7 linked regions of the Xenopus tropicalis genome follow. The protein of the gene in region 5 interacts with the protein of the main gene of each other region in a biochemical or structural test. Links are inferred from orthologs where the notes say so. Each region holds a gene or a part of one and is shown on either strand. Other genes may lie near its edges. The genes, in order: exosc10, mta2, ruvbl1, eef1g, sumo2, ddx17 and chaf1a.

What was found.
Region 1: the proteins of sumo2 (region 5) and exosc10 form a complex in vitro, tested with the Homo sapiens proteins (2 studies listed by BioGRID). The link is inferred for Xenopus tropicalis from reciprocal best matches to the Homo sapiens genes SUMO2 and EXOSC10.
Region 2: the proteins of sumo2 (region 5) and mta2 form a complex in vitro, tested with the Homo sapiens proteins (2 studies listed by BioGRID). The link is inferred for Xenopus tropicalis from reciprocal best matches to the Homo sapiens genes SUMO2 and MTA2.
Region 3: the proteins of sumo2 (region 5) and ruvbl1 form a complex in vitro, tested with the Homo sapiens proteins (2 studies listed by BioGRID). The link is inferred for Xenopus tropicalis from reciprocal best matches to the Homo sapiens genes SUMO2 and RUVBL1.
Region 4: the proteins of sumo2 (region 5) and eef1g form a complex in vitro, tested with the Homo sapiens proteins (2 studies listed by BioGRID). The link is inferred for Xenopus tropicalis from reciprocal best matches to the Homo sapiens genes SUMO2 and EEF1G.
Region 6: the proteins of sumo2 (region 5) and ddx17 form a complex in vitro, tested with the Homo sapiens proteins (2 studies listed by BioGRID). The link is inferred for Xenopus tropicalis from reciprocal best matches to the Homo sapiens genes SUMO2 and DDX17.
Region 7: the proteins of sumo2 (region 5) and chaf1a form a complex in vitro, tested with the Homo sapiens proteins (2 studies listed by BioGRID). The link is inferred for Xenopus tropicalis from reciprocal best matches to the Homo sapiens genes SUMO2 and CHAF1A.

The regions. Positions count from the first base shown.
Region 1 is NC_030683.2:64,893,176-64,896,675, reverse strand, and holds part of exosc10 (exosome component 10), read left to right. Parts: intron 1-824; coding exon 825-948; intron 949-3,500. UniProt on the Homo sapiens protein: Catalytic component of the RNA exosome complex which has 3'->5' exoribonuclease activity and participates in a multitude of cellular RNA processing and degradation events.
Region 2 is NC_030680.2:36,834,445-36,837,944, reverse strand, and holds the end of mta2 (metastasis-associated protein MTA2), read left to right. Parts: intron 1-108; coding exon 109-198; intron 199-1,757; coding exon 1,758-1,876; intron 1,877-1,961; coding exon 1,962-2,119; intron 2,120-2,207; coding exon 2,208-2,376; 3' UTR 2,377-3,173; coding exon of another isoform or gene 3,174-3,177; 3' UTR 3,178-3,398; downstream 3,399-3,500. Other genes in the region: putative nuclease HARBI1, read right to left, coding at 3,174-3,177. UniProt on the Homo sapiens protein: May function as a transcriptional coregulator. Acts as a component of the histone deacetylase NuRD complex which participates in the remodeling of chromatin.
Region 3 is NC_030680.2:134,985,309-134,988,808, reverse strand, and holds part of ruvbl1 (ruvB-like 1), read left to right. Parts: intron 1-2,346; coding exon 2,347-2,433; intron 2,434-2,955; coding exon 2,956-3,088; intron 3,089-3,500. UniProt on the Homo sapiens protein: Possesses single-stranded DNA-stimulated ATPase and ATP-dependent DNA helicase (3' to 5') activity; hexamerization is thought to be critical for ATP hydrolysis and adjacent subunits in the ring-like structure contribute to the ATPase activity.
Region 4 is NC_030680.2:36,802,782-36,806,095, reverse strand, and holds part of eef1g (elongation factor 1-gamma), read left to right. Parts: intron 1-52; coding exon of another isoform or gene 53-177; coding exon 178-195; intron 196-1,287; coding exon 1,288-1,431; intron 1,432-1,795; coding exon 1,796-1,925; intron 1,926-2,525; coding exon 2,526-2,733; intron 2,734-2,868; coding exon 2,869-3,041; intron 3,042-3,314. UniProt on the Homo sapiens protein: Probably plays a role in anchoring the complex to other cellular components.
Region 5 is NC_030686.2:44,411,181-44,415,200, forward strand, and holds the start of sumo2 (small ubiquitin-related modifier 2 precursor), read left to right. Parts: upstream 1-1,220; 5' UTR 1,221-1,230; coding exon 1,231-1,251; intron 1,252-1,961; exon of another isoform or gene 1,962-2,198; intron 2,199-2,545; exon of another isoform or gene 2,546-3,403; intron 3,404-4,005; coding exon 4,006-4,020. UniProt on the Homo sapiens protein: Ubiquitin-like protein that can be covalently attached to proteins as a monomer or as a lysine-linked polymer.
Region 6 is NC_030680.2:120,518,457-120,521,956, reverse strand, and holds part of ddx17 (probable ATP-dependent RNA helicase DDX17), read right to left. Parts: intron 2,735-3,500; coding exon 2,624-2,734; intron 2,536-2,623; coding exon 2,474-2,535; intron 1,493-2,473; coding exon 1,433-1,492; intron 1-1,432. UniProt on the Homo sapiens protein: As an RNA helicase, unwinds RNA and alters RNA structures through ATP binding and hydrolysis.
Region 7 is NC_030677.2:93,798,171-93,801,670, reverse strand, and holds part of chaf1a (chromatin assembly factor 1 subunit A), read left to right. Parts: exon of another isoform or gene 1-18; coding exon 19-120; intron 121-1,708; coding exon 1,709-1,958; intron 1,959-2,250; coding exon 2,251-2,720; intron 2,721-3,396; coding exon 3,397-3,484; intron 3,485-3,500. UniProt on the Homo sapiens protein: Acts as a component of the histone chaperone complex chromatin assembly factor 1 (CAF-1), which assembles histone octamers onto DNA during replication and repair.

The sequences.
Region 1 (3,500 bases), on a different chromosome or scaffold from region 5:
AGTGTGGGGGAGAAAAGGGCTTTAAAGGAACAGTAACACCAAAATATGAAAGTGTATAAAAGTAATTATGGTATAATGCACTGGTATAACTGGTGTGTTTGCCTCAGAAAGACTACTGTAGTTTATATAAACTAAGCTGCTGTGTAGCCATGGGGGCAGCCATTATAAGGAGAAAGGGCACAGGTTACTCAGCAGATAACATATAAAGACCCATTATATTCTACAGAGCTTATCTGTTATCTGGTTTTTAACCTGTGCCTTTTCTCCTTTTTTCCAGCTGGAATGGCTGCCCCTATGGCTACACAGCAGCTTCTTTATATAAACTATAATAGCGTTTCTGTAGCCAACACACCAGTTTTACCAGTGCAGGGCAACAGTACGTTATATTTTAATTACTTTAAAACTCTTATTTTTTATTTTTTTTTGTGTTACTATTCCTTTAAAAGAAAAAAAAAAAAGTGCCCTTTAAGGCAGTTTTTATGCCAGTAATTCAACTGTAGAACTGCACACAGGTAACTCGTAATTTTATTAACATAAATGTTACAATGGAAAATATACCCCCTTTTTTTTTTTTTTAATAAATTTATCTGAAGGATCATAATATAAGGTGGAGTTGTGGTTTACTGCAAACGGTTTAGCAACTTCCTATTACATGTTTGGTTTTAAAATCCATTCAATGACATATGGATGTAGAGATGCCCAAATTAGTATTTTGACTTCATGTATTTACTTGTAAGATATATTTCTTATTTAAAACATCTTATTCCTTTAGTTGAAGCCATTTGCTCATTCTTTTTATCATTTTATGTTTCGTTCTGTGATAGTATGAGCCAAGTTATGCAGTATCATGGCCTTCGTAGTCATATCCGGGATCGAAGCAGAGTCACGTTGCTGGAAGATAAATTTGATTTGCTTGTTGATGCCAATGATGTCATTTTGGAGAAAGTGGTAAGTTTTTTTTTTTTTATAGGATGTATTGCTTTGACCCTTGTGGAAATGAAATGAAAGTGAACAAAAATGAAAGTGTATCAAAGTAATAAATGTATTATGTACTTTTGCCCTGCACAGGTAAAAGCTGTGTGTTTGCTTCAGAAATACTACTATAGTTTATATAAACAAAGCTGCTGTATATCCATGTGGGTAAGCATTCAAATTGAAAAATGGAGAAAAGGCATAGGTTACATAGCAGATAACAGATAAGCTACATAGATTCCTGTTGAACTATACAGCGCTTATTGATTATCTGATGTTTAACTTGTGCATTTTCTCCCTTTCTTTCACATTGAGTGGGAACAAGGGACAGTGGGTAAAGGGCCCCTGCCATCACTGTCGGGACTCCAATGTATACCTCAACTAGCCTCTTCTATTGATAACATTTTGGTGAGACTAAGGGGCTAATTTACTAATCCACGAATCCGAATGAGAAAAATTCGGATTGTAAAATGAACATTTTGCGACTTTTTCGTATTTTTTGCAACTTTTTCGTAACCGTTTCGACTTGCGCGAATTGTCGCGACTTTTTCATAGCCAATAAAAATTTCGTGAATTGTCGCAAATTTTTCATTGCCATTATGACTTTTGTGAATTGTCGCGACTTTTTCATTGCCATTATGACTTTCGGGAATTGTCGCAACTTTTTTATTGCCATTATGACTTTCGGGAATTGTCGCGACTTTTTAATAGCCATTACGACTTTCGCAAATTGTCGCAACTTTCGTATTGAGAGCTCGAAAAAGTCGCGACAATTCGTGAAAAAGTCACAAAGTACCGATCATTACGAAAAAAACGCATTCGGACCCTTTTCGGATGTTCGTGGATTAGTAAATGTGCCCCTAAGTGATACCACAACTTCCTCAGCTAAACACAAGCGAGATTTTGGAAGTGCGGACACTTCCCTCAAAAATCCTTTCTGGAACAATCAGCTCCACAGACACTAGGGGGCAGACTTTGGTTCTTTGCAAAGGCATGGGCTCTGCACACTTCAGATCACTGGGTACTCTTTAGAGTACCGACTCGAGTTCCGAGACCCTCCCACACTTAATTTTTCATATCCAAACTTCCCTCGCAGCCCAACAAAAGAGAGGCCTTCTTGACAATTGTTTGCTTGTTAGCAGAGGCCGAGGTGATTGTTCTAGTACTGCCTCCTCTGTGTCCAAGGTGTGTCTATTATCAAGGCTTTCTTCAAAGAGAGGGCCAAACAGCATCTTCAGTTAACAATCCAGAGTTTACAGGACTTCTTCCCTGAGGAGAAACAGCTCAGATTACTCACATCCATCAAATATCTCAAGACAATGCAGAAACCAACAGTACAAGCCTGCATGAGAATCCTGGGACTAATGGTATCATCCACCGAGGCAGTGCCATTTGCTTAATTTCACCTTTGTCCCCTCCAAGCCACGATCCTTAGGCAATGACCCAGGACCTCCCTGCATCAACAGATGTCTCTAAAAAAGGGAACCAGGAGGTCCTTGGAATGGTGACTGAACCTACAGACAAGGCACTTTCATCTGACATATGTTTTTACTCCTCTCCCATTGCTCGCTCGAGTTCTCAAAATGATCCGCAGGGAAGTGGCTACAGTCATTGTAGTCCCCACTCGTTGGCCCAGGAGGTCATGGTACTCAGATCTTCTAGCTCTCTCTCTAGAAGCTCCGATGGCCTTACCTCCACGAGATTGACCTCCTTTGTCAGGGTCCAATATGTCATCAGAACCTGCACCTCTTCGCCTTAATGGGATGGCTCTTGAGGCTGCAATCTTGAGGGACAAAGGTCACTCGGAAGAAGTGATCCAGACCAGGATAAAAGCAAGTAAGAAACCACTTTCAGAATTTACCACAGGACCTTGTCCTTTTACCAGATCTGGTGCCCGCAACAGGACTTCAACTTTAGAGAATATAAGATCACTAGAGTCCTGGAATTACTTCAGTCAGGATTAATGAAGGGACTATACCTAGTATCCCTAAAATCCCAAGTGTCTGCTCTTTCTATCTTCTTTCAGGAGTGGCTAGCCCTATAAGAAGACATCTGCACCTTCTTACAAGGGGTCTCTAGAGTTGCTCCACCTTATTGGTAACCTGTCCCCCACCTGGAACCACCGTTTGAACCCTATCAAGTTCATCGCCCTTTCTGATATTTCAGGAAGGCAGAGCAGTCCTTTGGCAGTGCCGGGATTTCTCCCCAAAGTGGTGTCCTCTTTTCACGTTAAAACGGAGATCATCTTTCCTTCCTCCTGTAACAACTCTCGTAATGATAAAAAGGCAAAACGTCACATTATGCTGCTCTCTATAGCCTAATCAGTATTGGCTTAAAGGAACAGCAAAACATCAAAATATATTAAAGAAATTAAACCATAATGTACTGCTGCCCTGCACTGGTAGAAATTGTGTGTTTGCTTCAGAAACACTACTACAATTTATGTAAAAACCGTGATGTGTAACCATGGGGGCAGCCATTCAAAAGGACAAAAGGCACAGGTTATATAACCGCAAAATAAACCTTGT
Region 2 (3,500 bases), on a different chromosome or scaffold from region 5:
AGTACACAATGCATTTGTGTTACATTTTTTCTGTAGAAGCCTTTGTGGCTTTTGTCCTTGTATCATACTTATTCTTCCATGAATAACACAGTGCACCTTCTTTTCCAGGTTCTGTTCGCCTTCCTAAAGCATCAAAGACCCCTCTGAAAATACTGCCCCTTGTGCGCCCTTCCTTGGCAGCTATTGTGAAGGAGCTAGGTGAGAAACAAAACCCTCACCACTAGTTACCAACCAGTAGGGTCTCAAACATATTATTTATTAGAATTTAAACTGACATTAAAGAGGTAGTTCACCTATTAATTAACTTTTAGTATGATGTAGAGTAGTGATCCCAACCAGTGGTTTGTGAGTAATGTGTAGCTCACCAACCCCTTGGGTGTTTCTCTCAGTGCCCCCAAAGCAGGGGCTTATATTTGAATTCCTGACTTGGTGGCACGTTTTGCTACCAAATAAAGCCTCCTGTAAGCTGATAGGCAGCCTCTATACACACTAACAGCCAATCTTAACGCTTATTTAGCACCTCCATGAACTTTTATGATGTTTGTGTTTCTCCCCAAGTCTTTTTACATTTGACTGTGGCTCAAGATTAAGCAAGGTTGGGGGCCCCGAGGTAGAGAGTGCGACTCTAAGGGGCTGATTTACTAACCCACGAATCCGACCCGATTTGGAAAAGTTCCGACTTGAAAACGAACATTTTGCGACTTTTTCGTATGTTTTGCGATTTTTTTCGGCGTCTTTACGAATTTTTCGTTACCAATACGATTTTTGCGTTAAAAACGCGAGTTTTTCGTAGCCTTTACGAAAGTTGCGTAAAATCTTGTGATTTTTCCGTAGCGTTAAAACTTGCGCAAAAAGTTGCGCCTTTTTCGTAGCGTTAAAACTTACGCGAAACTTCGCACCTTTTAAGTTTTAACGCTACGGAAAAGGCGCAACTTTTCACGTAAGTTTTAACGCTACGGAAAAATCACAAGATTTTACGCAACTTTCGTAAAGGCTACGAAAAACTCGCGTTTTTAACGCAAAAATCGTATTGGTAACGAAAAATTCGTAAAGACGCCGAAAAAATCGCAAAAAATACGAAAAAATCGCAAAATACCGATCTTTGCGAAAAAAACGCAATCGGACTCATTTCGACTCGTTCGTGGGTTAGTAAATCAGCCCCTAAGAATTTGCAATTGATATTCATATGTTTGCAGTTTTTTAATTATTTAGCGTTGTTCAGCAGCTCTCCAGTTTGGCATTTTAGAAGCTGGTTCTGGTTACTAGGGTTCTATTTAACCTAGCAACCAGACAGCAATTTGAAAGAGACAGGAATAAGAGGTAGCCTAAACAGAAAAATAAGTAATAAAAATTAACAATGAGAATAAAATTGCAGCCTCACTGAGCAATAGTTGTTTTTGGCTGCTGGGGTCAGTGACCCACATTTGAAAGCTGGAAAGAGTCTGAAGACAATAAATAATTTAATGACTATATAAATAAAAATATAATCAATGCAATTGATAAGTTTATAAGAAGAGACTATTCTGTAACATACGGAAAGTTAACCTGAAGGTAAACCACTCCTTGAAGGGACTTAAAGTTGGGATTTCTTCACACAGGGAGATACGCAGACACTTTAATCTTGAATGGAAGGATGTTAAATCTTATTGCAAAATATTGAGGTTTTTGGGTGTGTGTGTAAGGGTAGGGGCCAAAATCTAAGTATGAAATGGGGAGTTAAATCTGCAAAATGTAAAGTTGTTTGTTCTTACCCCAAGCGGCCCAGGCTCCTCTTAAGCCGAAAACCCCACGTGGGACAAAGACCCCAATAAATAGGAACCAGCTATCGCAGAGTAGAGGGCTGAGTGTGCTACCTCCAAAAAGAGCATTTGATGCAGTAAGTACATTATCATTGTATTGCTGCATTTTACTGCTACGTATAATATTGGCTAAAAGCACTACTTTGTATGATTTTCCTTTAGCAGGTGTCTGGTGTGGGTGTCATTCCTCCATTCTCTTCAAATGGCCGCTCGTTCTCTTCAGGTGTCCGTTCTAGCTCTCAGCCCGGTGTCAAGAGACAGAAGCTCAACCTTGCCGATGCCCCCAATCCAGTGGTGTTTGTGGCTACTAAAGACACAAGGTAACTTCCAGCCTATACTGTGACTGTTAGTGTGGGTTACTGGTCCTTCTCTGTTAATCATGTGAACCTGTTTCTATTTCCTCCGCAGAAGTCTCAGGAAAAACCTCACACACATGGAGATGCGTAGAGCTGCTCGTCGTCCAAGTCAACCAGTGAAGTTAAAGGTCCCACTCCCGCCACGGCCTACAAACATCCTGCCTCCACTCAATCCAGCCCATCCTGCCAGTACAAGCGAGCCCATAGTTCTGGAGGACTGAGGGACCTTTTAAACAGTTACCCAGTTGTGAGAGAATACAGCCCTGGTACCAATTACCTAGCCAGGCAATTATGCTGACGAACAGAGGGACATTAAAAAGAAAGAACCCATGCTCCTCCTTGTTCTGCTTTCCAGCAACAGTATCTGGTTATGGCTTATTTCTCTACAGTCCTTTCACTTACTTTCCTCCCAAACTCCTTTTTATTTTTAATATATATTTTTTCATGTAACTACCCTGTTTGTTCATAAGCCCTTCCAACCCCTTCTTCTGACCCCTATATACTGGGTTTTTTTTTGTTTGTTTTTTTTTTTTAATTCTTGTTTAGTTTATGCTTTTTTGTACGAGAAAAAAAATGAGCTGTCCATCAGTAAAATGAGGAAAGAGGTTATACACAGCTTTGTGTGGATGGTGGCTTTTCAGGTAGAAGGGGAACATGGAGCTTTGTACTGCAGGCATTTTTGTGGATTTAATAAAAGGTCAGAAGTCATAACATCGTACTTGATAGAGAGGCTGACAAGGCCTTTATCTGGAAATCTAATAAGTGAATAAAGCACACAAAATGTTCTGCAGGTTCAGGTCAGAGCACATTTGATGGTGTTGGGTAATTTTTATGGAGTGTGTGATAAAAAGCTGAAGTGGATACGTATCCTTACATGAAACTGCTGGATTTAGCACGTGAAGGTTTCAAGCTCTAAATGGGCTGCTTTCTGCCGCTGCTGGGTGAGCCATAGCTGTCCCATAGGAGCGAACCATATTGAGCCAGAGGAGTTGTACAAGAGACATCTGGTCTTCCTTCTTTACCTGTGTGTGTGTAAGAAAGATCTTTTTTTTACTTCTGAACAATCCTCAGGGTCATAAATATCATAGAAATGAAGAAGCTGCAGAACATGATTGGAGCTCGGTAAATTCCCAGGGCCAGTACTGTTACAGATTCTCTTGCAAGGGGGACTTTTCTATTTCAGAGCTTATATTACACATGCTCACATGACAGTGGCTGTTCAATTAAAGGCAATTGCCAGCAATATATTCTAATGTATTTATTGGGATTTACTCTGTCATATTTCCTTTATTTTCATAGGTATTTTCTTCCTTTAACATAAAGATTGCTAGTAATTTACCTTAAA
Region 3 (3,500 bases), on a different chromosome or scaffold from region 5:
GTTACTAGTCCACTGCCTGTCACAGTAAAAGAAAGCGGGCATCTAAATATTCGTCATGACCATACCCCTGATCTGCCCAACGACACCCTGTTACATCCAGAAAATACAAAGCACCCTTTGTGGTACATAAACTGGAATTTTGTATGTAGCGTCTCCAGTCCCCACCCTCCAAAATGGTGGCACTTTCTTGTGCACAGGCTCCTGCACTGTGATCACTGCCAGGGAACTTGGGCACAGAACATTGCCACCAACCCTGCTGCCATGCTTTGCGTTTCATGAAGGTGTTGAAAGCACTACCTCATCACACAGAGCAAAGGGTTTCTTGAACATAAGTCATAACCTTGAACATGTTTATACATATTTGTCTAATGGGAATATTAACAGGTGACTATTTCCTCTTGCTTTGCTATCTCTTGCTTCTGTGCAAGTGTCACATACTTTGCTAATTTATTTTGACTGTCGGGCCACACATTCCCTTCTACCTTCCATAGCTCTCCTCTTGTACCCTGTCCACCAAACCAACAAGTGACATTAGCTTTATTATTCTCATTAGTCAGTGTTGCACAGAGTGAAGTCCCCCTTTGCATAAGGATAAAGTCTTTGTTTCCATTACAAGTGATTTTTGGCTTTTAGAAGAAAATTGATGTTTTTTCTTCCCTCAGCGCCAGTTTTGTGGCATGGTTTTGATTCGATGTGCTTTTTGAGCGAGATACTGTATTTCAAACACAAGCAGTGAAGCAGTACTTAATTTGGAGTCTGTTCTGACAAGTTCCTGCTGAGAACATTTGGGATTTAGTGGGCTATATGGAGAGATGATCTGATAGCAACAGAAATTCTCAGTGAACCAGGAATTTGGATTGTTAGGGTGGGATGGTGGAGCCAAAATTATAAGGGTGCAGTATGGATCTTCCATAAGCACAGTCAGACCAGGCTTGTTTGTTGTGAATATTTAGTGATAAGTAAAGTTGTGTCCCTTTTGCACTTACAGTGTGACTGTCTGGGTCCTTAAGGTTGCCATACACATAGCAATTTCGATCTTTTGTTCGACCATCGTTCCCACCCTCCACTGAAGTTCAGGGCTGAATCGTCCGATATGGAGGTAGAAACAATAGAAATTCTACCTCCTGCCGATTCAGCCCTGAATGTAGATTTTGCTAAAAAATCTTTTAACCTGGCCGATCGATGAGTTGAGCGATATCCGCAGCCTTTTGTGATATCGGCCGCCTCGTTGAGCCGCCATACACGCACCTTATATTGTAAGAAGCGAGGTTTCCTACGATATCACCGGTTCATGTATGGCCGGCTTTAGTGCGTCCTGAACTGAGGTAAGTCACAGGAGTTCTTTCTAGGGTCATCATTAAGAACTAATCAAAATACACAGGGGGTACTAATTTGTTAGGCACCACAGTGAATATAATCCCTAAACTTGGATCCTGACCCCCTATGTTCAAGCATTTCCCAGGAATCCTTTGCTGCTGTCAAGGAATATTCTTATGCTCAGTATAGTAATATTGGTAGTCATGTGAGGAATGCTGACCTGGGTTCTAGGGTAGGAATTATGTTTCCTGCAGCGGGTCGGGTACCCACAGAACACCCGCATATATGTCAGGAATGGGGGGAGGCAAAATCCTAGATGTCTTGACTGTGCGGGTGGTCCACAGGTACACAGTGGAGGTAATTGGGGAGGTTTCAGGCAGCTTTAAAAACACAAAAAGACCTGAGTTTACCAGCAAACTTGCCAGTTTCTGACCTAACTTCTGGTTCTCAAGTCAGCCCCGCCACAAAATAATGACGTTACTTCCGTTTTGCCAAGAAGTTGTTTGCGGTTCGGGAAGGCACTTCTTCGAATTTGTTCGGGTATGGAAAGACATCATAGTCAATACAGGTGTGTGGGTCCAGGTCTAACTGAAGATACACCAAAATATACCAAAACAGACCCATGCAGGACTCTTCCCTGGAGGATGGGATGGCTAAAGTTAAAGTGTTGCTGCTTAAGTTATTTTCTAATGGGCAGACTAACTGTAATAAATAGATAAATGGGCCTGCTGGATATACATTGTGCCCATTTGGGCCATTCAGTTTTCTTTGGATCAGCTGGTCCTTTAGGGCAGTGACATACCGGCCAGTCGTGTTTTTAGGTGTACATGCATGTCTATGGTGCAGGCAGGAGTGACTGCTGGAGACTTCACATTCACTTTCAGGCTTGCAGCCATTATTCACAACAGTACCCCAATTGTTGGATTGGATTGTACCTCTTCATGGTGGGCAGAGGTGCCTGACCTGGGCTATGTGACTGCACTACTACAATCTGTCAGAGCTGTTTAATATGTTTCTCTTAAATTACAGGCATGTGGGGTAATAGTGGAGCTAATTAAAAGCAAGAAAATGGCTGGGAGAGCGGTGCTGCTGGCGGGACCTCCTGGAACTGGCAAGGTACCTTATTTTTCTGCATGTTTCTTTCACCTGGATCCTATTTAACCATGGAAAATGCAAAGCATCAGGGTGTATATGTCTCCTATGCCAAACTATGTTTTGACTGCTGGCATTGCCCCCTTGTGTTGAAATGTTCATAGTTCCACTTTAAACCTGTGAATCACATACATAAACATTATACAAGGATAAGCTTGTTATACAGTGGGATTATGCATAATACATTACTGCAGCCTTTTAAAAAAAAAAATAATAATTTATATTGGAAACAGTAAAAGAAAAAAAATCTTTCATTAGATCAACAGTAATACCAGAGATTTCATTTGTAGAGCCTTTAACCTTGTGAATCAGAAAAGAAGATGGGGAACTACTGGGGGCATTTCTAGAGGCAAAAGGGCTATAGTCTCCTCCAGCTGGTGCTATAAGGGCAGTCTCGCGTGCACCGCCCTTTTGCACCTTTGGTCAGGCCCACGTGGCTTCCTTACTCTGCTCTCTTTCATTTTTATATTCCTTGTCTCCTTACAGACTGCTTTGGCTTTAGCCATTGCCCAGGAACTAGGCAATAAAGTTCCATTTTGCCCCATGGTTGGCAGTGAAGTTTATTCCACAGAGATCAAGAAAACGGAGGTCCTGATGGAGAATTTCCGGAGAGCCATCGGTAAGTGGTTGGTGGGCAGCTTGCTATGTCTGACTTTAAATGGTAAAATATACACAAGGTGTTGGAATTTTCCATTCTTAAGCATCTTAATGAAAGAGCTGAACTTTTGAAGCCAAAAACTCAAAGTAAATGCTAATCAGCCATTTCACATGTAATATAGGAGGTTACAAAGAGCATAAATAGAACATTTTTATAAAGCAAATGTGTCATTCTTCCTGCATAATATTTACCATAGTAAAAAAAATCTATTCTACCCTGCCCCAATAATTGCCCTATCCTGCACACCATTTATTATTTTGAATGCTTTATTAGAAAATACCTGCTAAAACTTGGCTTCCGGTCATTTTAAATAGGGCGATACGGCAATGCAGGGGAAGAACCCACTATGCGATGATCGACTGATCGATCCTAG
Region 4 (3,314 bases), on a different chromosome or scaffold from region 5:
CTTGGTGTTAATAGGAAACCTAATTCTCACCTCTCACATATTTCTCTGACAGTGGGCAATGATGAGCTCCGAGGAACCAATCGTTTACACCAAGCTCAGGTCATCCAGTGGGTCAGCTTCTCAGACAGTCACATTGTCCCTCCGGCCAGCGCATGGGTCTTTCCCACTCTGGGGATCATGCAATACAATAAGCAGGTAAGAAGGGTTCATTATTCTGCTTTATTTTCTTTGGTTAACTACACACTGCTGCGTGCTTATCTGCTAAATTATTTATTCATCTAACAATGGCCTTTCCTTTTCTACTTTGTGCTGCGTCGAGATGAATTATGAAATACTTTGCTTTACAAATACTTCAAGCACCCATAATGTTTGGGGTCAGTAGGACCCTTTAGGGTGACCAGATTGCTTGAAAATTCAGGGACGTGTAATGAAGAGAAAAAATAAATCCAGCTAGCAGGGCTGAACTGATTTGAAATACAATTCCTGCGACATGTACTAGATGTGTCCTTGAATTTTCAAGTGATTGGGTCACCCTACTTTTTGCCGCAGCCATAGCTTTAGATGAAGTAAACACGAGGCAGTTGTCAGAGATGGATGAACTGCCTGATCCAAGATCGATATGGGTTTAACAAGATTTAACTGTTTTAAATTGAAAGATTACCTTAAAAAGTGTGTGTATATCTCTGCCCCACCCTTATTTAGTGAATGTTATGGTTATATGTATCTTTCGGTTTATTGAATGGTGTGAAGTGATCTGTGCAGTTAGCTGGAAAATAGCAGCTTGCTTAAGGGCTGTGACACACGGGTAGATAAGTCACGGGTGACAAAACTCCCCAAAATGCCATCCCACCGGCTAGAATGTAAATCGTCGGTGGGATGGCATATGCGGCGGTGTGATTTGCGGAAGTTGCCAGAGTTTCCTCTCAAGGCGACTTCTGCGAATCACGCTTGATGCTTATGCCATCCCACCGGCGATTTACATTCTAGCCGGTGGGATGGCATTTTGGGGAGGTTTTCTGTGCAGCGACTAATCTCTCTGTGTCACAACCCTAACTAATTCCCCCTGGTTGGCATAATGGCGGATTCTAGTCTTCCTGGCTACTTTTTAGTACACGACTGTTTGTTATCTCAACAACCCTCTTGGATAGGGTTTTTTTTGTTAGAAGGTAGTAAGCCTCAGAAGCAAAAATAATTGAAGATTGAAGAAAATAATAGACCATTTTACCTCAATTTCTGTCCTTTTAAAACTGGCCATTTGGGATTATGGCTCTTTCTGTATATTTCTAGGCCACAGAACAAGCCAAGGAGGAGATAAAGGCTGTGCTGGGTGTTTTAGATTCTCATCTGAAGACACGGACATTCCTAGTGGGCGAGAGGGTCACGCTGGCTGATATAGCAGTTACTTGCTCTCTTCTGTGGCTCTATAAGCAGGTCTGACACTTTAATTTTTATCTGTTTCTCCTTTGTCTTTTATTCCTCCTAACTGTATTCCTGTTGTGAATTTGTAGCCTCCTTTAGCCATATACTTCACTATATTACTGTTTATAATAAAGATCCATTATACCTGTTCTGGTATACCAGTTCTTCATCATTTATTGGATTTCCCACACTCAGAATACATAAACACTGAAGTTTTTTTTTTTTTAATTTTTTTTCTATTCTAACTTTCTGTATAATAATCCTCGCCATTTACCCCATTTCATGTATCTACATCCCCATATTTTCACACTCATTTCTGTCAGCCTTTGTAGCACTTCTTTTTAGTGTCCATATATTAATTTCTATTTATCCATAGGTCCTGGAACCATCCTTCCGCCAGCCATTTGGTAATGTTACAAGGTGGTTTGTGACCTGTGTGAATCAGCCAGAATTCCGTGCTGTGTTGGGAGAAGTCAAGCTTTGTGACAAGATGGCACAGTTTGATGGTGAGCCTGAACATCCTATAAAATTCTCTTTTCTATCCCATTACCCTATTACCCTGTGCCTACACAGCAGCTTTGTTTCTGAAACACTGGTATAGTTTATATAAACAAACACACAACTTTTACCTGTGCAGAACAGTGTTTTTGAATTACTTTAAGAAATAATTTTTTTGGTGTTACTGGTCCTGCAAGGCAGGTTTGGTCTGTTTTGCGCTAAATCATTCTTGTACTGAGTAGCTCTTATGGTCAGCAAAACCGATTAATTTGATTTAGAGCTCAACTATAAACAAATTGTCTGGGCTGTATATAGGGCCAGGGTCTTTGTATTTATGAATACTTCCAGGATTGGAATGAACAGTATTCTGTATAAAGCATCATCTTCAGAATGTCATTTTTATAAACAAAATGTAGCGCAGTCTGTAACGGGGCTAAATATATACAAGCCATTTTTACAGGTGGTGGTCTACTTTTGATAGGGATGTTAGGTTAACTTATTGTATTTGCTATGTAAAATAATTTTTAGCAAAATGGCAATTCAAACTATTTCACATTGTATGGTGGTGTTTCTGCCAGGCTGAGAGTGTTATTTTTAATTTTCTGTAGCTAAGAAGTTTGCCGAGATGCAGCCCAAGAAAGAAACTCCCAAGAAAGAGAAGCCAGCAAAGGAGCCAAAAAAAGAAAAGGAGGAAAAGAAGAAGGCAACACCAGCTCCTGCTCCTGCCCCAGCCCCTGAGGATGATATGGATGAATCTGAAAAGGCTTTAGCAGCAGAGCCTAAATCAAAGGACCCATACGCACATCTACCTAAAAGGTAAGATCATTGAGCAATTGATGTAATTGTTGTCATCAGACTCTACAACACTACATCCCAATCTTAAGTGACCAGTTATAATCTTTCACTGTCATAGACCTTTATCGTCTTACAAGTCTTCATTTTCCCATGCAGCTCTTTTGTAATGGATGAGTTTAAGAGAAAATACTCTAATGAAGATACCCTGGCTGTAGCTCTGCCTTATTTCTGGGAGCACTTTGACAAGGAAGGCTGGTCCATCTGGTACGCTGAATACAAATTCCCCGAGGAGCTGACACAAACCTTCATGAGCTGCAACTTAATTACAGGTAAGAGGTAAATGTATGCATACACGGTGCTGCCTTGAAAAGCACTGATACAAGTAATGGCATGTAGTTAGGCAAAGGCTGGTAGTTTTCAGGGGATTAAACAAACACTTTGATGTAAAAATGTTATAAAGACGCTAGTGCCCCTGGTCTGTAAGCAGTACTATACTTGCTAGTAGTAGTCCTTAAATAGAACTCAGTCATAAATATTTCAAGGCTTGTGCATTTGTACATCTGGCAGCTATATAATTTTATATAACCCTAATTAAAACCATT
Region 5 (4,020 bases):
ACTCCAAATGAAAGAAAATAAATGCCCTTATAACCATGTCCCAATATGCACTGCTTGTACCCTAGGCAATTTTGGGTGGGTTTTAGGCCTTTTCATTTTTGGGGGGGTAACTATGAGGAGCAGAAGGCTGTCAGTGTTATTAACAGTAAATAGGGAAGAAAGACAGTAAATCCCAGTGTTGGAATGAGGTGTGTGGGGTCCACCACCTCAACAGACGGTTTTTCTCCTATCGTTCCGCTCGTCCAGTCCCACCCTGGGAAATGGCTGTATTTTATGTCCCTAAAAGGGCAGCCACCTTCCATGATTTTTATGTTTTGTCTGGAAACTTTGGATATGGTTTGGATATGATTTTTATGTTTTGTCTGGTAACTTTGGATATGGTTTGGATATGATTTTTATGTTTTGTCTGGTAACTTTGGATATGGTTTGGATATGATTTTTATGTTTTGTCTGGTAACTTTGGATATGGTTTGGATATGATTTTTATGTTTTGTCTGGTAGCTTTGGATATGGTTAGCTTCTCTATGTTTTTGGTATGTATAACTTTATTTATAAAGCGCCACAAGGATACGCAGCACTGTACAATCTTACAATATACACAATTACCCACAGGTAGGGCAAGTGTTATAATAAATTTCAATAAATAAGTATAAATACACAGGGAGTAAGTGCCATGGGGTATGAGACACAGTAGGAAGGAGGTCCCTGCCCCGTAGAGCTTACAATCTAAGTGGTTGGGTAACATACAGGCACAAACTGGAAGGTAAGAGGCACCAGGTATGGGCATTTGCCCTTAAGTGCAGGACTGATCAAAATAAAGTTTTAGTGAAAAGGTAACTGGTATGGCAACTGGTATGGCTTCCTCCTTTGGCTTAATTATAGGGGGGGCTGTTTCTGGAAGCTTCTATCATGGCTCCTGCCCCCTCTATGAGACTAGGCCAATGAAGTCACTGGAAGGGATTTAGCCAATCCCGGGTACAATGCGGCCCAACCTCACCCTGACTCTCCTCAGAGTCAGACCCCTCCCCCCATGCGCGCCCCCGCCGCCACGTGCTCCCCAAGGCGGGCTTTTCCCTACAGTGGAAATAGCGGCGGGGGCGCGCACGCAGAGAGTGCGCCAAATCTTCCTTTCCGTACGTGCGCGCTCTCGTTCCACGTCCCGCGCCAGTTCAGGCTCTTTGTGAGGAGGAGGCAGCAGCGAGAGTACCGGGCACCGGGAGCGAACTGACAATGGCGGACGATAAGCCCAAGGTCCTGCTCCGGGCTGGGAGAGGGAAGGGTCGCATAGCGGGCTTGGGGCCGGGGGCAGTGGGTGCGGGGCAGGAGGAGGGAGAGGCCTAGGCGCTAAAGGGAGGGGGCAGCGGCCTGCGGGCTGTGCGGGGGCTCTGTGGGTACGGGAGGGGCCCGTAGGGAGACAGCCGGGAGAGGGACGCCCATACTAGCGGGGCTTGGTTATGGGAGGCTGCACTGCATTGGCCCACTAGGTTTATGGGGAAGGGAGCACAGGAACCAGGGAGCACTGGGGAAGGGAGCACTGGGGAAGGGAGCACTGGGGAAGGGAGCACTGGGGAAGGGAGCACAGGGGAAGGGAGCACTGGGGAAGGGAGCACAGGGGAAGGGAGCACTGGGGAAGGGAGCACAGGAACCAGGGAGCACTGGGGAAGGGAGCACTGGGGAAGGGAGCACAGGGGAAGGGAGCACAGGGGAAGGGAGCACAGGGGAAGGGAGCACAGGGGAAGGGAGCACAGGGGAAGGGAGCACAGGGGAAGGGAGCACAGGGGAAGGGAGCACAGGGGAAGGGAGCACTGGGGAAGGGAGCACTGGGGAAGGGAGCACTGGGGAAGGGAGCACTGGGGAAGGGAGCACTGGGGAAGGGAGCACTGGGGAAGGGAGCACTGGGGAAGGGAGCACTGGGGAAGGGAGCACTGGGGAAGGGAGCACTGGGGAAGGGAGCACAGGAACCAGGGAGCACAGGAACCAGGGAGCACTGGGGAAGGGAGCACAGGAGCCAGGGAGCACTGGGGAAGGGAGGACAGGAACCAGGGAGCACTGGGGAAGGGTATGTTGGGCACTGCCAGTATTGGGAGATGGGAAGTAAATGGGAATGGGCGACCTTGGCTATACTGGGAATAGGGATATTAGGGGGGCCTGAGCCCAGGTATGTTGTGGGGGAATATACTGGGGCTGGGAATTGGGAGGTTAGGGGGCCCTGAGCCCAGGTATGTTGGGGGGGGAATATACTGGGCCTGGGAATTGGCAGTTTAGGGGGCTCTGAGCCTAGGTATGTTGGGGACATATACTGGGGCTGGGAATAGGGAGGTTAGGGGGCCCTGAGCCCAGGTATGTTGGGGGGGAATATACTGGGGCTGGGAATTGGCAGCTTAGAGGGCCCTGAGCCCAGGTATGTTGGGGGCATATACTGGGAATTGGGAGCTTAGGGGGCCCTGAGCCCAGGTATGTTGGGGGCATATACTGGGGCTGTGAATTGGGAGCTTAGGGGGCCCTGAGCCCAGGTATGTTGGGGGCATATACTGGGAATTGGGAGCTTAGGGGGCCCTGAGCCCAGGTATGTTGGGGGCATATACTGGGAATTGGGAGCTTAGGGGGCCCTGAGCCCAGGTATGTTGGGGGCATATACTGGGAATTGGGAGCTTAGGGGGCCCTGAGCCCAGGTATGTTGGGGGCATATACTGGGGCTGTGAATTGGGAGCTTAGGGGGCCCTGAGCCCAGGTATGTTGGGGGCATATACTGGGGCTGTGAATTGGGAGCTTAGGGGGCCCTGAGCCCAGGTATGTTGGGGGCATATACTGGGGCTGGGAATTGGGAGCTTAGGGGGCCCTGAGCCCAGGTATGTTGGGGGCATATACTGGGGCTGGGAATTGGGAGCTTAGGGGGCCCTGAGCCCAGGTATGTTGGGGGCATTGACTTTAGGGAATGAGGTAACTTGGGGAGAGAGGAATTCAAGAATGTTGAGTGGGAAAAGATGTAGCCTCTGGCCAGTGAGAAGGGCAAGTATTATGGGAGAGCTTAATGGTGGGAAAATGGGTATGCAGGGCTCAGTGCCATTAAATAGAGTTAATACTGGCCAGAAGCCTAGGTTATGTTGGGGGCATTCCATGCAGAGTAAGGGGCATAAGGGTGAAGACACACTGAGCTACTAGCAGCAACTAATTTTTTACAGCTACAAAACACCAGAAAATCCCCTGCCTTAGACAGTATGGAGCGTTGCGAAAACAGAGAATTATCAGTAACTGATTGGCATTGAATATTTTAGTAGCTGTGACAAGTAGCTGCTACTACTGTGTGTCTTCGACCTAAGGAAGGAGAATTCTTAGTATGGAAGGAATTTTAGAATTGAGGAAGTAGTGTAGGTAATGGAGGAACACGTGTTAGAAGCAGGAAGGGTAAGGTGCATTAGGCACAGTGGAAAGAAAGTTCTGAGAACTTTTAAACTTGTATTAAGTCTTTAGATTCAGGGTCTGTGACACTGTGAAGCAGTACCATGTTATTCTGCATACTGGCCCTCAATGTGATATTGCTCTCTTAATCACTGGGACCTGTTAATTGGGGACCTAGAGACACAGGCAAGCGTACTGTAAGGCTAATATATACGATGAGGTTAGGGGCTAGACCAGCTTTTGTGAGTGTAGTTGTAAGTTAAATGCCTGTGCAGTCAGTAAACATTCCAGAACTGTAGCTCCCAGCAGTGACTGTTGTTCTAAAGGGAACATTTGGTGTATTTTGTGTAATGACATGCAGCCTTATAACTTCTGTGCTCCCCATCTTTCTTCTTGTGCGTTGTGAACACATTACCAAATGTAGCATGGTCCCCGGCCAGATCTAATATAACTAGAGTTCTTTTGTCATTTGGTGCCAAAGTATTCTCTAGAATGGGGTGCAAAGAGCTCATTTCTCACAACGGGATGAATAACCACAAGCGTTACCAGTGTTTCTGTGCCATGATGCCCCTTCCCAGCACTCATTCCACTTTTTACTTCTTTTAGGAAGGTGTTAAGACC
Region 6 (3,500 bases), on a different chromosome or scaffold from region 5:
AAAAGACTTCCCAACAGTTGCCCAGCAGATGGCATAGTGGGAAGCATCTGTGTGATCTCCCTTCTAGAAAGGTGGTCCTTCTATTCAATAAGGCTGGGCAAGAACATGACACTGAATCAGCAGGCAAATGGGACGTAGAAGTAGCCCAATATCAGTACTCAGGGTGGAATGCCTGCATTGTGCACCACCATGTTGAGTGAGTAACTTAGGGGGCTCGGAGTTGCAGACCCAAAAATTGCCTCTTCAGTACAAGACCTTTGCGAGGGAGGAGTGTAAGAAGCCAGTGCCCTTTAGGGGGGCAGCTTCCAGCGTTCATCCCCCTGTATTTTCGACGGGCCCCTGGCCCTGTACTGAGAGAGATCTGCAGCTTCTGTCAAAAACAAAACAAAAAAAATAAGTTTTAATATCAAATTTTAAATTAAAAATATGAAATTAAATTGCCTACAGTGTAGAAGACTCATGCTCAACTGGAACTTACCTGGCTGCTACCTAACAGCTATAGAACAGGTAGCCATGCAATTTCTTAAGAGCAACAAATAGCCAAAAGACATTTTCAGAGCACTAAAAATAGTAACTACATCCAGAAGATACTGTGCCTAGAAAAGACCATTCCCTACAAGTGAACCACCTTTCCATTGGGGAGAAGGAGACCAGTAAATTTGTGGCAAGTTTTAATGGCAAACTAAAGCCAAACAGTTCCACATCCTCCCACCACAAAAAAACACAGATGGAGGAACTGAGTAACAAGAAACAGACTGTGGTACTCTTCCTGCCTTGAGAAATGCATGGTTTGCATCAGTGGATTGGGGCACAAATTAAAGGATACATATAAGCACAACTTAATACTTAGTTTTAAGCACATTCAAGATTTAAAAAAAATACTAGGAAAAAAAGCTATAACTAATAAAATGAATAAGTTACATACCAAAATGCACAATAACTTCATTTCATTAAAATAAGAAATTCACCACACACCACGGTATGTGTGGGAGGCCTGGCTATCAAAATGGGGAGCAGAAAATCCATGTACACTTTTAGTAGAAGGTACAAATCAAACCTGACTGGATGGATTTGTGAAATAAAAGGTAAATAGACTTCACATATGCTTAGCCAAAGTTCCAAAGATGTCAAAATACATCTAAGGTTTATAACGATAATAAACTTGTATTTCACATATCCGTGCTGTGACAGGTCCAGTATGTGCTTCCTATAAAAATGACATGAATATAATATGTAGTGTGTATATTTTACGTAAAAATGGGATGCAGTTTGCATGCAGTGTGTATTATATGAAGATATTCTAATAACAGCAAGCTAGAAAATACTGCTTAAATATATTAAAGCTTGAACTATAATGTACTGCATAAAGGAAAGCGCAGGGTGGCAGGAGAGTGGAGGGAGGAAAATAAAGAAAACCTCCAAAAATACAAACCTAGACCCCGGGAAGCAACATCTGTTGCAATAAGGATAGGTGCTTTCCCAGTACGGAACTCTGCAAAGAAAATTTTAAGCGATCAGTTCCTGAGCACAACATATATCAGTAACATACTTCTACTTTCCACTTTGAGAGGCACATTTTCACATATCACCATTCTAATATCAAATTTTTATATTTATGGCTAGCTACGATCATGTATAGTCAGGTCCCATTTACTCTTGATCCCAACTAAGATAATTTATTCTTAATATATTCTACCAAAAAAAAATGAGCATTATATTCATGCATCAGCTTAGTTAACACATGGCAGCAGGCAAGCCAAGAATAAATGCAGAACAATAGACTCAAGAACACTAACACAATGCAATGGGGGCTATCTGTGCTGGTAAACTTATTAAAAGGGATACTGTCAATTTTTATGGTGTACTTTTTATTTCTAAATTACACTGTTTACATAGCAAATAATTCACTCTACCATTTAAAATGTTATTCTTGAACCAACAAATATATTTTTTTAGCTGTAATATTGGTGTGTAGGTGCCATCTCAGTGCATTGTGCCTGAGTCTGAGCTTTCAGAAGGAGCCAGCGCTACACATTAGAACTGCTTTCAGCTAAGCTATTGTTTCTCCTACTGCCATGTAACTGGAGGAGTCCCAAGCCGGACTTGAATTTCTTACTACTGAATGCTACTCTGATATCTACTGGGAGCTGCTATCTTGCTCCCTTCCCACCGTTCTGCTGATCAGCTGCTGGGGAGGGAAAAAGAGGGGGATGGTATCATTCCAACTTGCAGCTCAGCAGTAAAGTTTGACTTAAGTTTATCAGAGCACAGGTCACATGGCTGTGGGACTCTGGGAAATGAAGAACACAGCTAAACCCCATGTGAAATTTCAAAATTAAATATAAAAAAAAAAAAAAAAAGATTTCCATCTAGGATTCTGATGACATGTAAATTATATGCTGAATATAATTCTTATCATACAAAATTAAATTTCTTTGTCTGGCCTATAAGTAATTTAAAAGTAGAATCTCACCACATAGAACCCAGTCACGTTCTTGTTGGCTTTTGTCACCATGGATACACATTGCAGGCCACCTTGGGAAAATATAAATTTAGCATAAAGATAACCAGAGCAGGGGAGGGAAAAAAAAAAAAACTAATGAAAATTAAACTTTTTCCTTACCCATCACGCCTCATTCTGCGGGTTAAGTCATCACAGCGGCGCTTTGTTTCCACAAAGATGATGGTTTTATTCTCTTTTTCGGCCATTATTTCTTCCATCAACTGGATAAGCCTACACGCAACATAAAATCTGTTAAGTGCCAGTAATATCCAGAAATAAACACTAAACGCATAACGACAATGTTAATTTACCATCATTAAAATTATGCTTTTTTTAATTTAAATACTTATTTCATATAGTTTATTTTTGCTGAGGTTCAGGGGTGTTTAAACACAAAGGCTCTACTGGATAGGTAGGCCTTTGTTAAAGGAATAGTAACACCAAAAAAAAAAAAAGTGCATGTTTTAAAGTAATTAAATGAGAACGATCACAAAAATAACAATTTAATATAAAATACTGAAATAAGAAACTTTATAAAATAATCAATTAAAAATACTGAAATAATCAAGTTTATTTTTACTATCCCTCTCTCAGCATCTATTTTGCTTCGTTCTCTCTTCATGCAGGAGTAGGGTGTCAGATTTTGACTGACAATTTCAATAAATCTTAATATTTGATCTAACTGTGATTCAAAATCAGACTCCCAACTACCGCATGAAGAGGGAGGATAGACAAATGCCGAGAAGAGGGGTATAGAGAAGTGTATGACTAATAGCTTGACAGGTTTTTTTATTGTTATTTATTGGGCTCCAATCAAAACAGGATGCAGGAGCCCAATGCTACAAAGCATTAATAGTATTTTAAAGGGCAACTGTATGACTGAGTTGTAAGTAAGATGATGAATAATAAAAAAAAAAACTGTCAACCTGTCAAAAAGAATCTATTTGTAAGAATTACTACTCATTCACTACAGTTCAGCTCATATTTATACCCACAA
Region 7 (3,500 bases), on a different chromosome or scaffold from region 5:
TCCTTTTCATTTGCCTAGGAGAATGAAGATGATGATCCCAAAGAAGAAGACGAGGAAGATGATGATGGCTTCTTTGTTCCCCATGGATACTTATCTGATGATGAAGGGGTATCTGATGAGGTAAAAATTTAGGACTAAAGTGAAAAAAAGGAGTCTGTGCATATATTGCATATCTGATAATATTTCTGGGTGACCTACAATGCATTTCTGGGATGTCACTTTCGTATGATTGTTGTCTGCCAATTATTTCATGTTCAGAACATCCTCCGACTTGTTATTTTTAGGACTGTATTCACAAGTTCAATCTGAATGTTCGTTTTAGTTTGTTAAAATTAAATATACGATTGACATCCAAATCTCAACCTTTAGTCCTGCCCTGTCTCTCAGTTCTTCTAATTCCACAACAGCAGTGTTGTGTTTTACCTACAACTTATTCTGCATGTTGTTGTTGAAAAGAGCATAAAGGCACCAAACACATAGATACAGTGTCTTGCCCTGTTCCTATTGTTTCAGCCAGAGTTCCTAAATATTGTCACATTTTTCCAGGCATCCTCTAGTAAAGGGGTCCCCAACCTTTCTTACTCATAAGCCACAGTCAGAGTAAAAAGACTTGGAGAGCAACACAAGCATTATAAAAGTTCATGGAGGTGTCAAATAAGGGCTAAGATTTGCTATTAGGGCAGTGACAGACGGGGAGATTAGTCGCCGCGACAAATCTCCCCGCAATGCCATCCCACCGGCTGGAATGTAGATTTGCCCAAGTCGCCCAAAGTTTCCTCTCAAGGCAACTTTGGCAAAACGTGCTGCCGTGTATGCCAACCCACCGGCGACTTTTGGTGACAATATATTGGGAAATGCAAGTGTGTGCCATATATGACCGTATTTTATGCCAAAAAGTACATATAGCTGGACAGTCATAAAAAACATGTAGAAAAATTAGCCCACATCATTTTGACCTATTGGTCAGGTGCACCCTGTTTATATTTTGGACAGTCTCTGTAGGGTCAGGTAGACTCTGGATAAACTTGATCATATTGGTTGATGTGGGTCACTGTACCTAAGCATACTTGGTGCCTTATGTGTAACAATGATTTGCATTCTTGCCTTAAGAATTTGGTGTTCAGGTTTTACCACAGCACTATATTAGTAGAGTTTTTATATGTTTGCTTCATGGTTTTTGTGTGGGTTTCTGTGTTTGCTCCAGCTTCTTCCCACTGTTAGCTTCATATATTCTTCTTCCTATATAATCCTATTATGATAGCACTAGCCTCTAGCACTATCAATACCAGTATAATCTTTGTATAGAACAAGGAATACATGTGTTTTTTTTCTGAAGACCGTAGCAAATAGTGACCTATAATCCTTAGTTAAAAAAAAATCTTCCTAAAAAATATCCTGCCCTGTAGTCGTCTTTTTTTTTTTGCTAAAACTTTTAAAGTATGCATCTAAAATACCAATACAGTAGAACCCCAATGTTATGGCCCTGCGTTTTTCAGGAATTTAGTATCTGGTAATCAGTATAAAAAGCTTTTACATTTTTCTTTCCTACCCATGTGTGGTTATTATATCAATGTTTTTTAATGTGACTTATGTGCACTAATATTATAATTAGAACTATAATTCAGTATAGCTCAGTGACACTTAACTTTTTTTTTTTATTAGCTGAGGGTTGTTCTAATCTGAGCTTCTTTTGATCCTGCCCATCTAGGAATGCACAGACCCAGAGAACCAAAAAGTTAGACAGAAGCTGAAGGCTAAGGAGTGGGATGAGTTGCAATCAAACAGCAAGAAGATCCGTGTACTGCAGCCTGTAGTGATTGGATGTGTATGGTGGGACAGTAATGCTTCAGAAATTAGACTCCTGCAAAAATTTTCTGCCTGTATTCTGGAGTCACCTGCAGTTGAGGAAGAGCTTGCACAAGAGATTAGTTCTGCCCAGAACCTCAAGGACAGGCAAAGTATGATGGACAATTAATAATGATTTTGCAATATGGATGGTCAAATTTCATTGGTCCGAGCTGTATTTCCTTCACTTTGTAGATGTTTAGGACCAGCCAGTGGCAGGTCAGACAACTTTTTTTTGACAGCTACCAGGGAAGTCGAAATAGTTTTATTTGTTAATAATCTATACCGCATTTAGATGTCCCTATGGGCTGACCGTATAATTTTGTTTGGAAAATTAATTCTGTAATTTCAAAATTTTCATTGTTTTTATCTTACAAATGCTAACTTAAACTCTTTTATTTTTAGTACTTTCCAAACTTGTCCCTCTACTTCATGGAAATGTCAATGGAAGTAAGATTATAATACAAGAATTTCAGGAGTGCTGTCGCCGAGGTTTATTATTGGAGGATAACACAAGTACTACCACAGACAATGAGTCCCCCAGCCCTAACTCCACACCACAAACACCAAACAATGTTCTAGTCCCTTCTAAGGCTCACTTAAAGCGTTTAATCTCTGAAAACTCAGTGTATGAAAAGCGCCCAGACCACCGTATGTGTTGGTATGTGCATTCTGATGTCTTAAAGGTCCTACAACAAGACAATCTTCCTGTACCCTGCCAGTGGATTTACATTACTCAAGTTAACTCTGTAGCCAAGGAAGATAATGGTCCCAATGGAGGACCATTGCAATCTCTGCCTTCGTCTAACAAGAGGAAGTCTGCAGGCAGCATGCCTATCACAAAGTTTATGAAGCGAGCAAGGGACCTTGAAATGGTGAGATAACCAGATAGAATACAATGCCATGTTATGATGTATCTTTGCCATTTCAAAATTTCCTTGAGTATATATTACCCTTGTGCTATAATTAGTGCCCCACTAATTGACTTCTGAAGTAGTCTGGTGATTATGTTGAATGAACTTCTCAGCTATGTGGATGTTAAATAGGGATGTAACTGGTATTTGGATGAATCCAATAAAATCTTCTTAAGGGAATGGGGCCAATAATGAACCTTATCTGCTTATTCAATGTGAGCAAACATTGGAAAAAATTGCATCGGAAAAAATCTCAGCAGTGCATTATAACTACATGACATCATGTCTCTGATTTTGGTTTGCACAACCCCACTGTAAGTTTTATACATTTAAGCAAAAATTGCCGTAGTCAATTTTAAATGTATGCAGGCAAATATTGTAATTTGAAAAACTATGTTCAATACAATATTTTTAAATTTCTCTGCATGTCATACATTATAGATTAAGACTTTATTTTATTAGTCGTGCCCAGTGCCTTAGATCCAGTCAAATGAGAGTTTATACTGCTTTGGGTTCAAAGATAAGTTAAGATTGATGAAAAAGTTGTGTGTGCTTTTGCTAATGATAAGACCGTTTCTCCCTAGCTTTGTTCAATATAGCTGCCATTTAACAGTTTTTTGTTTTTTTTATCATTCAGGCTGTAAATACAGATATGGATGGCTTTCAGGCAGACAATGAAGAAGAGGATGATGACTGTATGATTCTAGAGGACCAACAAGCTAAAAGTAAATAAACCTATTT